Linked DNA regions of Callithrix jacchus. The protein of the gene in region 1 binds, or shares a complex with, the protein of each later gene. Links are inferred from orthologs where the notes say so. Each region holds a gene or a part of one and is shown on either strand. Other genes may lie near its edges. The genes, in order: GTF2F1, POLR2E and GTF2A1.

What was found.
Region 2: GTF2F1 (region 1) and POLR2E share a complex: the UniProt entries of both Homo sapiens proteins name them as parts of the TBP-based Pol II pre-initiation complex. The link is inferred for Callithrix jacchus from reciprocal best matches to the Homo sapiens genes GTF2F1 and POLR2E.
Region 3: GTF2F1 (region 1) and GTF2A1 share a complex: the UniProt entries of both Homo sapiens proteins name them as parts of the TBP-based Pol II pre-initiation complex. The link is inferred for Callithrix jacchus from reciprocal best matches to the Homo sapiens genes GTF2F1 and GTF2A1.

The regions. Positions count from the first base shown.
Region 1 is NC_133523.1:6,031,082-6,034,726, reverse strand, and holds the start of GTF2F1 (general transcription factor IIF subunit 1), read left to right. Parts: upstream 1-724; 5' UTR 725-878; coding exon 879-890; intron 891-974; coding exon 975-1,021; intron 1,022-1,831; coding exon 1,832-1,904; intron 1,905-3,645. UniProt on the Homo sapiens protein: TFIIF is a general transcription initiation factor that binds to RNA polymerase II and helps to recruit it to the initiation complex in collaboration with TFIIB. It promotes transcription elongation.
Region 2 is NC_133523.1:1,037,308-1,041,045, forward strand, and holds the start of POLR2E (DNA-directed RNA polymerases I, II, and III subunit RPABC1), read right to left. Parts: upstream 2,929-3,738; 5' UTR 2,904-2,928; coding exon 2,847-2,903; intron 960-2,846; coding exon 785-959; intron 1-784. Other genes in the region: uncharacterized protein LOC144580922, read right to left, coding at 2,994-3,244, 3,391-3,555. UniProt on the Homo sapiens protein: DNA-dependent RNA polymerase catalyzes the transcription of DNA into RNA using the four ribonucleoside triphosphates as substrates.
Region 3 is NC_133509.1:116,182,389-116,186,132, reverse strand, and holds the start of GTF2A1 (transcription initiation factor IIA subunit 1), read left to right. Parts: upstream 1-1,062; 5' UTR 1,063-1,503; coding exon 1,504-1,533; intron 1,534-2,465; exon of another isoform or gene 2,466-2,539; intron 2,540-3,309; exon of another isoform or gene 3,310-3,493; intron 3,494-3,744. UniProt on the Homo sapiens protein: TFIIA is a component of the transcription machinery of RNA polymerase II and plays an important role in transcriptional activation. TFIIA in a complex with TBP mediates transcriptional activity.

The DNA.
Region 1 (3,645 bases):
AGCCAGCCAGCCACCCCCACGACGTTACTCTTCTCCGGGGGCCTCAGAGCCCTGCCCATTTGGGGCAGCTTGGACTTGCAGAGACCCATCCCGCCAGCAGCCCTTGGGGTGGTCGCGCCCCGATTCCGGGCAGGCTCTGACCCCTCCTGGCTCGGCTCAACGTCACAAGGGTCCCCGCTCCGGTCATTTTGCGGGAATGACGGGGTCCACCCCTTCTGGGCAGGTAGAGGAAACGAACCCCAAACAGGCCCATAGGGAGCCAAGCGGCAGTTCGACTGGACCCGAGTAGGCCTCAGTTGCTATGGTGACGCGGCCTTCCAAGCCCCAAAGTCCCGAGCGGCATGACGCATGCGCAAAGCGCCTGGGAGCCCGCAAGGAGGACTAGCTTCCTTCTTCCCACCCAGGATGCCCTGCGGTCCTTGGGTGCTGACGTCACGAAGGAGGGCGGTCCCACATTTGATGACCGCACTGTACATAGGAGCATCAGCGACCAAGGCCGGTTATTTGATCTCAGACTCGGCCTTGTTGCGTCTGAAAAGGGGCAGGGGTGGCTCTTTTGAGGTGGCCATAGACGCCGAGGAACATAAGTGACGGCGCATTGAGGTAGCCACAGCCGCTTAGAAGGTTGCCATCGCGACGCGGCCGCTGGAGGGTTTAGCTTCCGGGTTAGGCGGCCGCGGAGGCGTAGACGGAATAACCTGAACGCCTCTTCCGGTTACCCTTTCCCAGTGCCAGAGGCGCCTAGGGTAGGAATCCTCACACGGGGACCGGAACAGAGACCCGACAAGGAACGGCGGCTTCCCCGAGATCGAGGGACGCGCTAGCCAGAGGAGAAGAAAGGAACCCGGGTCGGACCACGGAACCACTGACCATTGCCCATGGCGGCCCTAGTGAGTGTGGATTTGGCGGGGTTCGGGGGTCCCGGCGGCGACCTCGGCGGCACCTTACTCACCGTCCGCTTCCTCTTTCCGCAGGGCCCCAGCAGCCAGAATGTCACTGAATACGTCGTTCGAGTTCCGAAGTAAATCCCCTACCCCATCTCCCACTCCTCTCCACCCCGCAAAAGTGAAAACCTTTACGGTCCTCTTAGCCTGACGTTTCTGGCCCTGTCTGTGGTTCTCCCTCCAGACCGGGGGACTTGGAGGGCAGGGCTGCGATTAAGCTGAGGCTTCTCTGGAGGCAAACACTGCTTTTTGTATGAATGAGTGCATTAATACACAGCACGATTCAGCCTCCTGGCCTAACGTTCGAGAGCATATGATGCCCAGGCTGTCTCGTCCTCTTTCAAAGCGAGCAGGCTGCCTTTCCTTTCCAGGCCTTTGTACATCCCGTTCCCTCTGCCATGAGTGCCTCCCCTCAGCCCCCAAACGGTGACTCTGTTGGGTGAATTCTTGTTGATTCTGCAAAACTCAGCTCCAGTATCATCTTCCTCCAGGAAGCACTCCCTGACTGACCTCCCTCCTCCCCAAGGCTGAGTTCCCAATAATCTCCACATCTTGGGTTTCTCCCAATCTTTGTTCCTCCATTTGTTCTTCGTCTGCACGCAGTTAAGAGGGGATGGGGTCTAGCTTCTCTGGCAGACTGGGATTCCTGCAGTCTTCCGTATCCAGTGTTGACAGGCAAAACAGACTGAATGAACCAGGGTGGGTTTGTTGAGTGACTGAATTAATGATTCAGTGGAATGGAATGCTTGAATTAATGGTTCAGTTGAATGGAACGATCGAATTAATGATTTGATTGAATTAATGATGTGTTCACATTGATTGATTAAATTAATGATTGAATTGAATTGATGTATTGGATTGGCTCTATCTCTTCTAATCCACTCTAGGAATACAACCAAAAAATATAACATCATGGCTTTTAATGCAGCTGATAAAGTCAACTTTGCCACGTGGAATCAGGTAAGTCCCTGGGTCCTGGGGGTCGGGGGCTGGGGTGGTGAGAGAACCTGACCCTGACCTTGGTGGTTGTAATAGTTGCTTAGCTGTCATAGTAACTAAGTCTTAATTTTCTCACTTTTCCCAAGTGGAGATAAGGTAGATGACAAAGAGTTGGGTGCAGTAGTTTGTACCTGTAATCTTAGCACTTGGGAGGCCAAGGCAGGAGGCTTGCCTAAGGCCAGGAGTTCAAGACCAGCCTGGGCAATATAGCAAGACCCTATCTCTACCAAAAATAAAATAATTAGCTGGATGTGGTAGTGTGCATCTGTAGTCCTGCACAGGAGGCTGAGGTAGGAGGATCACTTGACCCCAGGAGTTGAAGGCTGCAGTGAGCTATGATTACACTACTGCACTCCAGCCTGGTGACAGAGTAAGACCTGTCTCAAAAAAAAAAAAAAAAAAAAAAAAAGATGGCAAAGGCCCAGGCCAAGCTCCTGGGTGTCCCTGTAAGTTACGTTTAGTAGGACCACAGGAGGCCATTCCTTAATGGAGAACATTTAGAAGTTGTGCCCACTGATGGCCATTTTTGCCAAGGTTTATCTGGCTGAGGGAGGGGACTGGGCTAGGGCCTTCCCCAGAGCCCCTGCCATCAGAGGCTCTAGAAAGGACTGTGGGAGCCATTAAAGCATCCTCCACGGGGAAGTTGTATTGTGATCTGGCTGCTGTGGGGAGGCAAACTGTGGGTTTGAGGGCGGATAAAGGGAGAACAGGGTGGAAGCAACTGGGCTGACTGGTCTAGGTGAGTCCTGGCCTGGGGATGTGGAGGCCGTGAAGGTGATGAGATGTGGCTGGATTCTAGAGTGTTTTGGAAATGGTACATATGGACCTTGAAGCAAGAGCTTAAGGGTAATTGGGACCTTATTGGCCACATAGGTCATGATTAATGGTTACATTTTAGAGATTTTGGTGTCTTACTGTCAACAAGTTTGGCACAATGAATTTCTTTTTATTTATTTAAATTTATTTTTTTGTGATGGTGTTTCACTTTTGTTGCCCAGGATGGAGTGCAATGGCACGACCTCAGCTCACTGCAACCTTCAACTCCCAGGTTCAAGCCATTCTCTTGCCTTAGTCTCTCATGTAGCTGGGATTACAGGTGCCCACCCCCACTCCCACCTAATTTTTGTATTTTTGGTAGAGATGGGGTTACACCATGTTGGTCAGACTGGTCTCGAACTCCTGACCTCAGGTGATCCACCCACCTTGGCCTCTGAAAGTGCTGGGATTACAGGTGTGAGCCACTGTGCCTGACCTTTTTATTTTCTTTCTTTCTTTTTTTCTTTTTTTTTTTGAGACGGAGTTTTGCTCTTGTTACCCAGGCTGGAGTGCAGCGCGATCTCGGCTCACCGCAACCTCCGCCTCCTGGGTTCAGGCAATTCTCCTGCCTCAGCCTCATGAGTAGCTGGGATTACAGGCACGTGCCACCGTGCCCAGCTAATTTTTTGCATTTTTAGTAGAGACGGGGTTTCACCATGTTGACCAGGATGGTCTCAATCTCTTGACCTCGTGATCCACCCGCCTCGGCCTCCCAAAGTGCTGGGATTACAGGCTTGAGCCACCGCGCCCGGTCGCTTTATTTTCTTTCTTTATTTTTTTGAGATGGAGTCTTGCTCTGTTGCCCAGGCTAGAGTGAAGTGGTGTGATCTGTGCTCACTGCAACCTCTGCCTCCTGGGTTCAAGCAATTCTCCTGCCTCAGCCTCC
Region 2 (3,738 bases), about 5.0 Mb from region 1:
TAGTCCCAGCTACTCGGGAGGCTGAGGCAGGAGAACTGCCTGAACCCAGGAGGCGGAGGTTGCGGTGAGCCAAGATCGCGCCATTGCGCTCCAGCCTGAGTAACAAGAGCGAAACGCCATCTCAAAAAAAAAAGAAAAAAAAAAAAAAAAAAAAAAGAGCCTCACCAGGTCCACTAAGCAGACAGGCTCCATCCTCCACACTGATTCTAGGTGCTGGGCTATGCACATAAGGCTTTCTCAGTCCCCCAACCTCGGAGGGCTTTAGAGCCACAATGGGGAGGCAGACAGGTGGGGGAGACTCCACAGAGAAAGTGCTGACACCAAGTGTCCCAGGGGACCCGGGAAAAGAGTCCCCCGCACAATCTTGAGGGACAAAGAGCAGACGCTGACAGGGCGGGGAATGGGCTGGGGCGGGTTAGGGCGGCCAGGGCCGCAGCTCACAAGGAGGCTGCTCTGACCTGGATAGGGCCTCCTAGGCCAGGCCAAGAAGCTGGAAGGGCACCCAGTGGCCAGGATGGGGGAGCTGAGGGACACAAGGTCATGGGGGGCTGGGGTAAGTGGAGAGGCCCACGTGACAATCCTGGTTGGAGGAAATGGTCAGGGAAGAGAGAAGGGGACTGATAAGAGGGAAACTAGAAAGATGCTGCATGAGAGAGATCAGACGTCAACAGCATCACCCCAAACAAGGAAGGGGAGGGGAGCCTTTCCCCCAGACTGGGCAGAGGGACAGGAGCTGGGCAGGAGGCGGATGCTGGCAGCTGGCTCCTCAGCTGGTGCTGCTCACCTGGAAAGAACACAAACATCTGGTCGGTGGGGTCATCGTTGTGTGCCACCAGCACGGTGAGGTCTGTGCGCCGCGGCCGCCCCTCGCTCGGCTTGTCCCCAAACTGGGCTTTGAACTCCTCCAGTGTCTGGTCAAGCTCGTCCTGGGTCACTAAGTAGCCACGGTCATGGCACAGCTGCAGAAAGAAAGAGCCAGGTGGCTGGGTGTGGTGGCTCCCGCCTGTAATCCAAGCACTTTGGAGACCAAGGCGGGCGGATGACCTGAGGTCGGGAGTTCAAGACCAGCATGGTGAAACCCCTTTATTTAAAAAAAAAAAAAAGAGCGAGCCAGCTGACCTCAGGGCAGATGGAGGAAGGGGGCCAGATCTCATGACCCAGAAGTCAGACCTGCAGCTGCTGCAGAGGACAGAAGGCTGAACACTCATTCAGCCTTGGGACAGCCACCCTACCCCCACAGCCACACCACAGGATGGGACCAGTATGATCCTGAGAGGCTTGCAGGGCCCAGCCTCACAGGAACCTGGCAGGGCACAAACCTGGCAACCACACCCAGCCCTCCAAACCACTTTTCAGAGAGACCCTAAAGACAGGGAGGGAAGCCGGGCTCGAAGGCTCAGAACTGTGATCTGAGTGCTAGGGAGGCTGAGGCAGGAAGACTGCTTAAGGCCAGGAATTTGAGGATGCAGCCGGCTATGACTGCAGCACTGCACTGCAGCCTGGAAGGCAGAGAAAAACCCTTGTCTTTTTTTTAGGGGGGGTAAAAAAAAGGGCCGGAGGCGGTGGCTCACGCCTATAATCCCAGCACTTTGGGAGGCCGAGGCGGGTGGATCACGAGGTCAAGAGATCGAGACCATCCTGGTCAACATGGTGAAATCCCGTCTCTACTAAAAATACAAAAAATTAGCTGGGCATGGTGGCGCGCGCCTGTAATCCCAGCTACTCGGGAGGCTGAGGCAGGAGAATTGCTTGAACCCAGGAGGCGGAGGTTGCGGTGAGCCGAGATCGCGCCATTGCACTCCAGCCTGGGTGACAAGAGCGAAACTCCGTCTTAAAAAAAAAAAAAGAGAAAAAGAAAAAAAGACAGGGGGCCGGGTGCTGTGGCTCAGGCCTGTAATCCCAGCACTTTGGGGGGCCAGGCGGTCAGATCATCTGACGTCGGGAGTTGCAGACCAGCCTGGCCAACATGGTGAAACCCCGCCTCTATTCAAAATACAAAAAAATTCAGCCGGGGGTGGTGACAGGTGCCTGCAATCCCAGCTACTCGGGACGCTGAGGCAGGAGAATCGCTTGAACCCGGGACGCGGAGGCTGCAGTGAGCCGACAGCGCGCCCCTGCACTCCGGCCTGGATACGAGAGCAAAACACCGTCTCAAAAAAAAAAAAAAAAAGACAAGGACGGAAACTGAACTACAGGCTCCCAGCGAGGCCCGGAGGAGGGAGAATCCGGCTGCGTGGGCTTCGCTGAGGACAAGGGCAATGGGTGGGGAAGGACGACAAAGCGAAAGCTCTGGAACGGCCCCAAAGGCTGGAGCCGGACTCCGAACCGCGCGGCTTCCAAACCCGACTCAGCCCCGCGGCCTCCGTCTGCCCCAGGCCCCGAGGCACGGCTTCCGGGCTCCACGTCCCCATCTCCCGCCCCAGCTCGGTCGCTGCTGCCCAACCACCAACTCCGCCAACCTCGGATGCGGAGACCCCCGGGGGTCCGGGACGCGGGGACAAAAGGCGCCGCGGAACCACAGAGCGGGGCAGGGTCTGGGGGCGCCCCTTCCTCCTCCTCCTGCCGCCACGCGCGCCGCACCAGGCCCGAGCCGCCCGACCACCCCTAAGCTCCCGCACCCAAACGTCCCGAAATCCCCCTCCCCGCTGCCGGCTCAGGTCGGGCCCAGCGCCTGAGAACCCCGGCGGCCTCGAGGCCTCCCGTCACCGCCCGCCCCTTCATCGCTGCTGCTCCGACGGGACTACGCCAAGAGGCCGAGCTCGACCCCACCTCGTGCCCCTGCACCCACCTCTTGCGCCCCCGGCCCCACCCCACGGTTCTAAACAGCTGCCCGGCGCGCGGCTGACCTGCATGATGGTCTTGCGGATTTTCCAGAGCCGGTACGTCTCCTCCTCGTCGTCCATGGCGGTCGCCACTCGCACCCCCTACGCATGCGCTAGTGACGTCTCGCGCGGACTGCGCCTGCGCCGAACGCCAGTCAGGTCCCCTTCGCTTTACCCCGCCCGGAGCTGGGCTGCCTTCCGCGAAGGCCTGACTGCAGCAACATCTGGGACCGGCAGCGCCAAGGGCAACCCGAGCCTTACGAGCGCGACAGTTGGCTGCACGAGACTCTCGCTCCGCAGTTCTCCCGTGTCTTTGGCCGCTCGGCCTCTCGGGAGTTGTAGTTTCCGTTCAACTCCCACGTTGGGGCAGCGGTTTAGAATCCCACGGAGCGGGGCCGGAGCGTGGGTGGGGAAACTGAGGCCTAGATGGGGCCAAGGGGCAGCTCAGCTCCTAGGGGCGGTCAGCCTAGTGAGAACTGTAAATATTTGTACACCAAAGTCTACAGGGTTCTCTTTGTTGTATCCAGCCCATGTCCCCTTTAGTGCCAGTGAGCTTCAGTTTCCCTACCTGTGCGATGGCAGTGAAGTGTCCCTCGTTTAGACGGATAACTGGGAGGCTCGGGTAGAGCTGGGCATCTCTCTAGAGGAGCCCTCCTGCAGTCCACGAAGTCAAAACTGCGTTGCTCAAAGAGCCTTTGTCTCAGTGCTGATTTTTCTCTGTGGCACCGACCATCTATTTCCAACAGTGGGAAGTAGAAAGGTTCCTTTTTACAGTTTCCTTTCCTGTTAAAGAATAAATCAGGCCGGCCGCGGTGGCTCACGCCTGTCATCCCAGCACTCTGGGAGGCCGAGGAGGGTGGATCACGAGGTCAAGGGATCGAGACCGTCCTGGCCAACATGGTGAAACCCCGTCTCT
Region 3 (3,744 bases), on another chromosome or scaffold:
CCTCAAAATTCCAGGGGCTCCGTTCTGCTTGTAATGTTGATATAAAGGCAGGATTTGTTTGGACAGAGGAGGTCAAAAGCTTATTGGATTGCACTTCAAGACACGGGCACAGCCGCCGTGCTCTCTTATAACTAGAGGCCAAGCGATTTGGGTCAAGGGCATGTGTTTCAATGTGATCAGTCACTACACGTTGGCCATGCGGAGTAGTGGGATTTTGGCAGTATTTTTTAAAACCAGGGAAAGTTATTGTGCTGTTATAATCCAAAGGCTGGTGGGGTTGTCTCCCCTACTCCCCGCACCGCATTTCCACCACCGTGACAAATTATTTAAAGTACGTGGGCTAGTAGGGAACTAATCTCTGGGTAACCTAAGTAAGCCTGGTCTTCGTAGCGGACCCAGTGTGGAAACAAACCAAGTCAGAGGTTAGTAACTCTGGAATGTGAAAGTGGGCCCCAATCGGCTTTTACTCCCATTGGGAAATTCTACATAATTCTGCCCGCGAAAGACCCACCCTCGGCGAGGAGCGAACGCTCCGAGGCTCACAGTCAAAGCCTCGCTGACAAATCAAGAGATGACTCCGCATTTAAAACCGTCCCGAATCGGAACCCGCCAGAGGCCGGAAGCCGCACCACGTGACCAGTTCTCCGCGGCCATTCCTAGCGAGGCAGTCGCTACCGCTTGTCTCATTTCCTAGCTCCTCCAGCGCGGGACCGGGCGGAAACGTGCGACAGGAGGCGGTCCCACCTAGCTTTGGACTGGAATGTCACTAGAACTCGCGCCTTTTCCAGAAACGCTTTGCAAGTACTTCACCGCAAAGAACTGCGGCAGACTTCCGCCTGGGTGCCAACCACGTGATCACGCGAGAGTTGGAGAGGCGTAGGTCCGACTTCACTACTTCACTACCCAAGCTCCGCCAGTCGAGCACCCCCACCGCGCGTGACGACGCGGCTCGCGGCGGCCTCCGCCCCGACGCGCCTGCGCACGCGGCTCTCGCGGTGTCTCGCGCTCAGCCCCGCCCACCTCTGCCCCCGCCCTTTCCACCCCTCCCTCCCCCATCACCCTGTCTCTCAGCGGCGGCGGCGGCGGCGGCGGTTCGCGCAGCTTGTTGGCTCGCTATATAAAGGAGAGAAGCGAGCGGACCGGACGGCTGGAGCTGCAGCCGGTGGCAGCAGCGGCGGCGCAGGGAGCGGTGACCGGTGGTGGTTTCCCTCCTTGGCGCGGGGTGGGGAGCGGGCAACGCCCCCGGACCCCTTAAGGGTCGTGGATTTTTTTTTAAAAAGACGATTCTCGAGGTTTTTAGCTGCGGGAGGAGTGCCCCCCTCCTCCTCCTCCTCCTCCTCTCCGCTCTCCCCTACTCCTTCAGGATTGATTTTGTTTAAGTTTTTTTCCCCAATCTTGCGGTGACTTGGGTCACCCTCGGGTGTTTTAGTATTTTTTTTTTTTGGTTTTGTTTTTATCTTGTTTTCTTGGGGTTGCCCCCTCTTGTTTGTGTTGTGTGTGGAAATGGCGAACTCGGCAAATACAAACACCGTGGTAAGGACGTGGTTCGGTGGCCGGCGGGGGCTTCGTTCAGGCGGCAGCAACGGCCGGACCGGGCGGGGGCGGGGACGGCGGCGACTCCCGGCCTCGACTCTTCAGCCGCCCGCGCGGCCGCCGCCGCTGCCGCCGCCGCTTCCCGCCTCGGGCGGATCGGGCCGGGGCGGCGGGCGGCGGGCGCGGGGGGGCGCCGAGGGCTCGCGGCTCGGGGAGGGCGGGGGCGCCGGCGGGGCCTGGGGCCGCCGCGGGCCGGGTCGGGCCGCGGAGGCGGTTGGGCCCGGGCGGGCGCGCAGCCCCGGCCCCAGAACCCGGCCCCCGGGAGGGAGGGCGTGAGGGGAGCCGCCGCTTCCCCCCGAGGGGCCCGTCCGCGCTGGCTAGACGATGGCTCCCCGAGCGGCTTAAGAACAAAAACCGTGTCTGGGGAATCGGGCGAACCCCTGAGACCCACCGTGATCCACTTTAATGCAGTGGAGGATTAATGGCTACTTTTGGGGGTTACTTAGGTTTTTTCCTGGCAGTTGTGCTTTGGGAACCTTCACTGGGGCCATTTTATGTTTAAAAAAAGGACTAAGGTTGTTTGAAAAGCACTTATCTCAGTTCCTTCCGAATGGGTAAAATGGCGAAGGGGAAGCAACCCCCCCCCCATCGTATCTTCGACTAGCAAAAGCACCAAAACAAACAAAAAAAGCCTACAGTGGTCCAAGTGTCCCTGCTTTCGCCTTGAAATTTGCCTACTTCTTCCCGTTGGTCCCTTTTTGGTTATTTGCGATCACGTAGGTTTGCAAAAAGCAGTCACATAAATAACCTTTTCAGTCACCAACGCAATGTGATCACTAGTCCCCCCAACTCTTATTTTTATATGACAATAAAACACGTTTTTGCCCGGTCCCAAATGCCGCAGACTAGCCCGCGGCCGCCCGACACCGTACCGTTGGCGACTCGGGTCGATCCATCATGGCTGCGGCCGCTTACCCTGCTTTTCAGTCCCTGAGCTTTGTGGTCCTCCTCCCTTTGGCTGCCCTGTTTATATAGAGCCATTGCCGCTCTCTAATATAGACTCTGCCAGGATGGGTAGGTGCTTTTCAGGCCTACGTCACCGCCTCTCCATTTAAACACCAGATCCGGCTTTAAATAGTGAGAGCTGCTGAGAGCGGGGCTGGGAGGTGCGTGCTCCCGAGGCGAGAGCCAGGCGCGTGCGGAGCTCAGTTTATTTGTAGGTCCTTTTTTCACGCTGTAATTTCGCGCCTGTCGGGGGCTGCTTTCAGAGCCCCAAGTTTTTGTTTTGTTCCTAGCAGCAGCTAGGAATTACCTTCTTTTGTTTGTTAGGGGAAATATATCCGAATCGCTGTCCGTTTTTATTTACAATTTTCAAAATATGAAAACAAAGAATTTTTGATCAGATAGTCTAGTGATTTTCCTGTGTGCATTATTTTCAGGAATTAAAAAAACTGCTTTCTACAAAGTGTTAGCTGCAGAGGACTTGGTTTTTGTTGTATTTTGTTCAAATATTCAGGAAACAGGTTAGAAATACAGCTCCTAATATTTCATTATGTTTTTCTATAGTAAATCTAAAAGACACGAGGCCTTTCAGAGAAATAGATAAGTGCCTGAAGCTTCAGAATAGGACCATTTATGTGTAGGGGAATCGTGAGTAATTAGAGGGAAGAGACTTAGTGCAAACTGGATTTTAAAAAACTGTTAAGTAGAACTTTATCGCCTTGGATATTATTAACACAGTATCCAGTATAAAAATTATTTCAATTTATTTTTCAGCATTGCATCAGGGAATTAACATTTTTGAAGGAAACCTCCTAAGAAATCACTTAATAATGCCACTAGTGGCCCTCTGATAAACCAGTTTTCAAGTTTGAAATACCTGTCTTTTTAAAAATCAGGACAAACCTAAACTATTTCGTGAGAAACGGAAACTTTGACTCAATAGAGTGAAGAATTTTAGGTACTAGTTTATAAATTGCTTATTTCAAATAATGCCTATGTGCCCACATAGTTTTCAAAAATTCGTGTCTTGAGTGCTTTTCAAATTGTGAACAATTCTAAATTATTCATTGGGCATATACTTTGTGAAGCATACACGTTTCCCTTCTTTAAACTATAGTGCTTATGAAGCTGTTAAGTGATCAAGTTGTGAGTTCATTAAGGCACAAAAATAAAATCTTAAAGAATGATTCATTAAGTAGAGGAGTACCA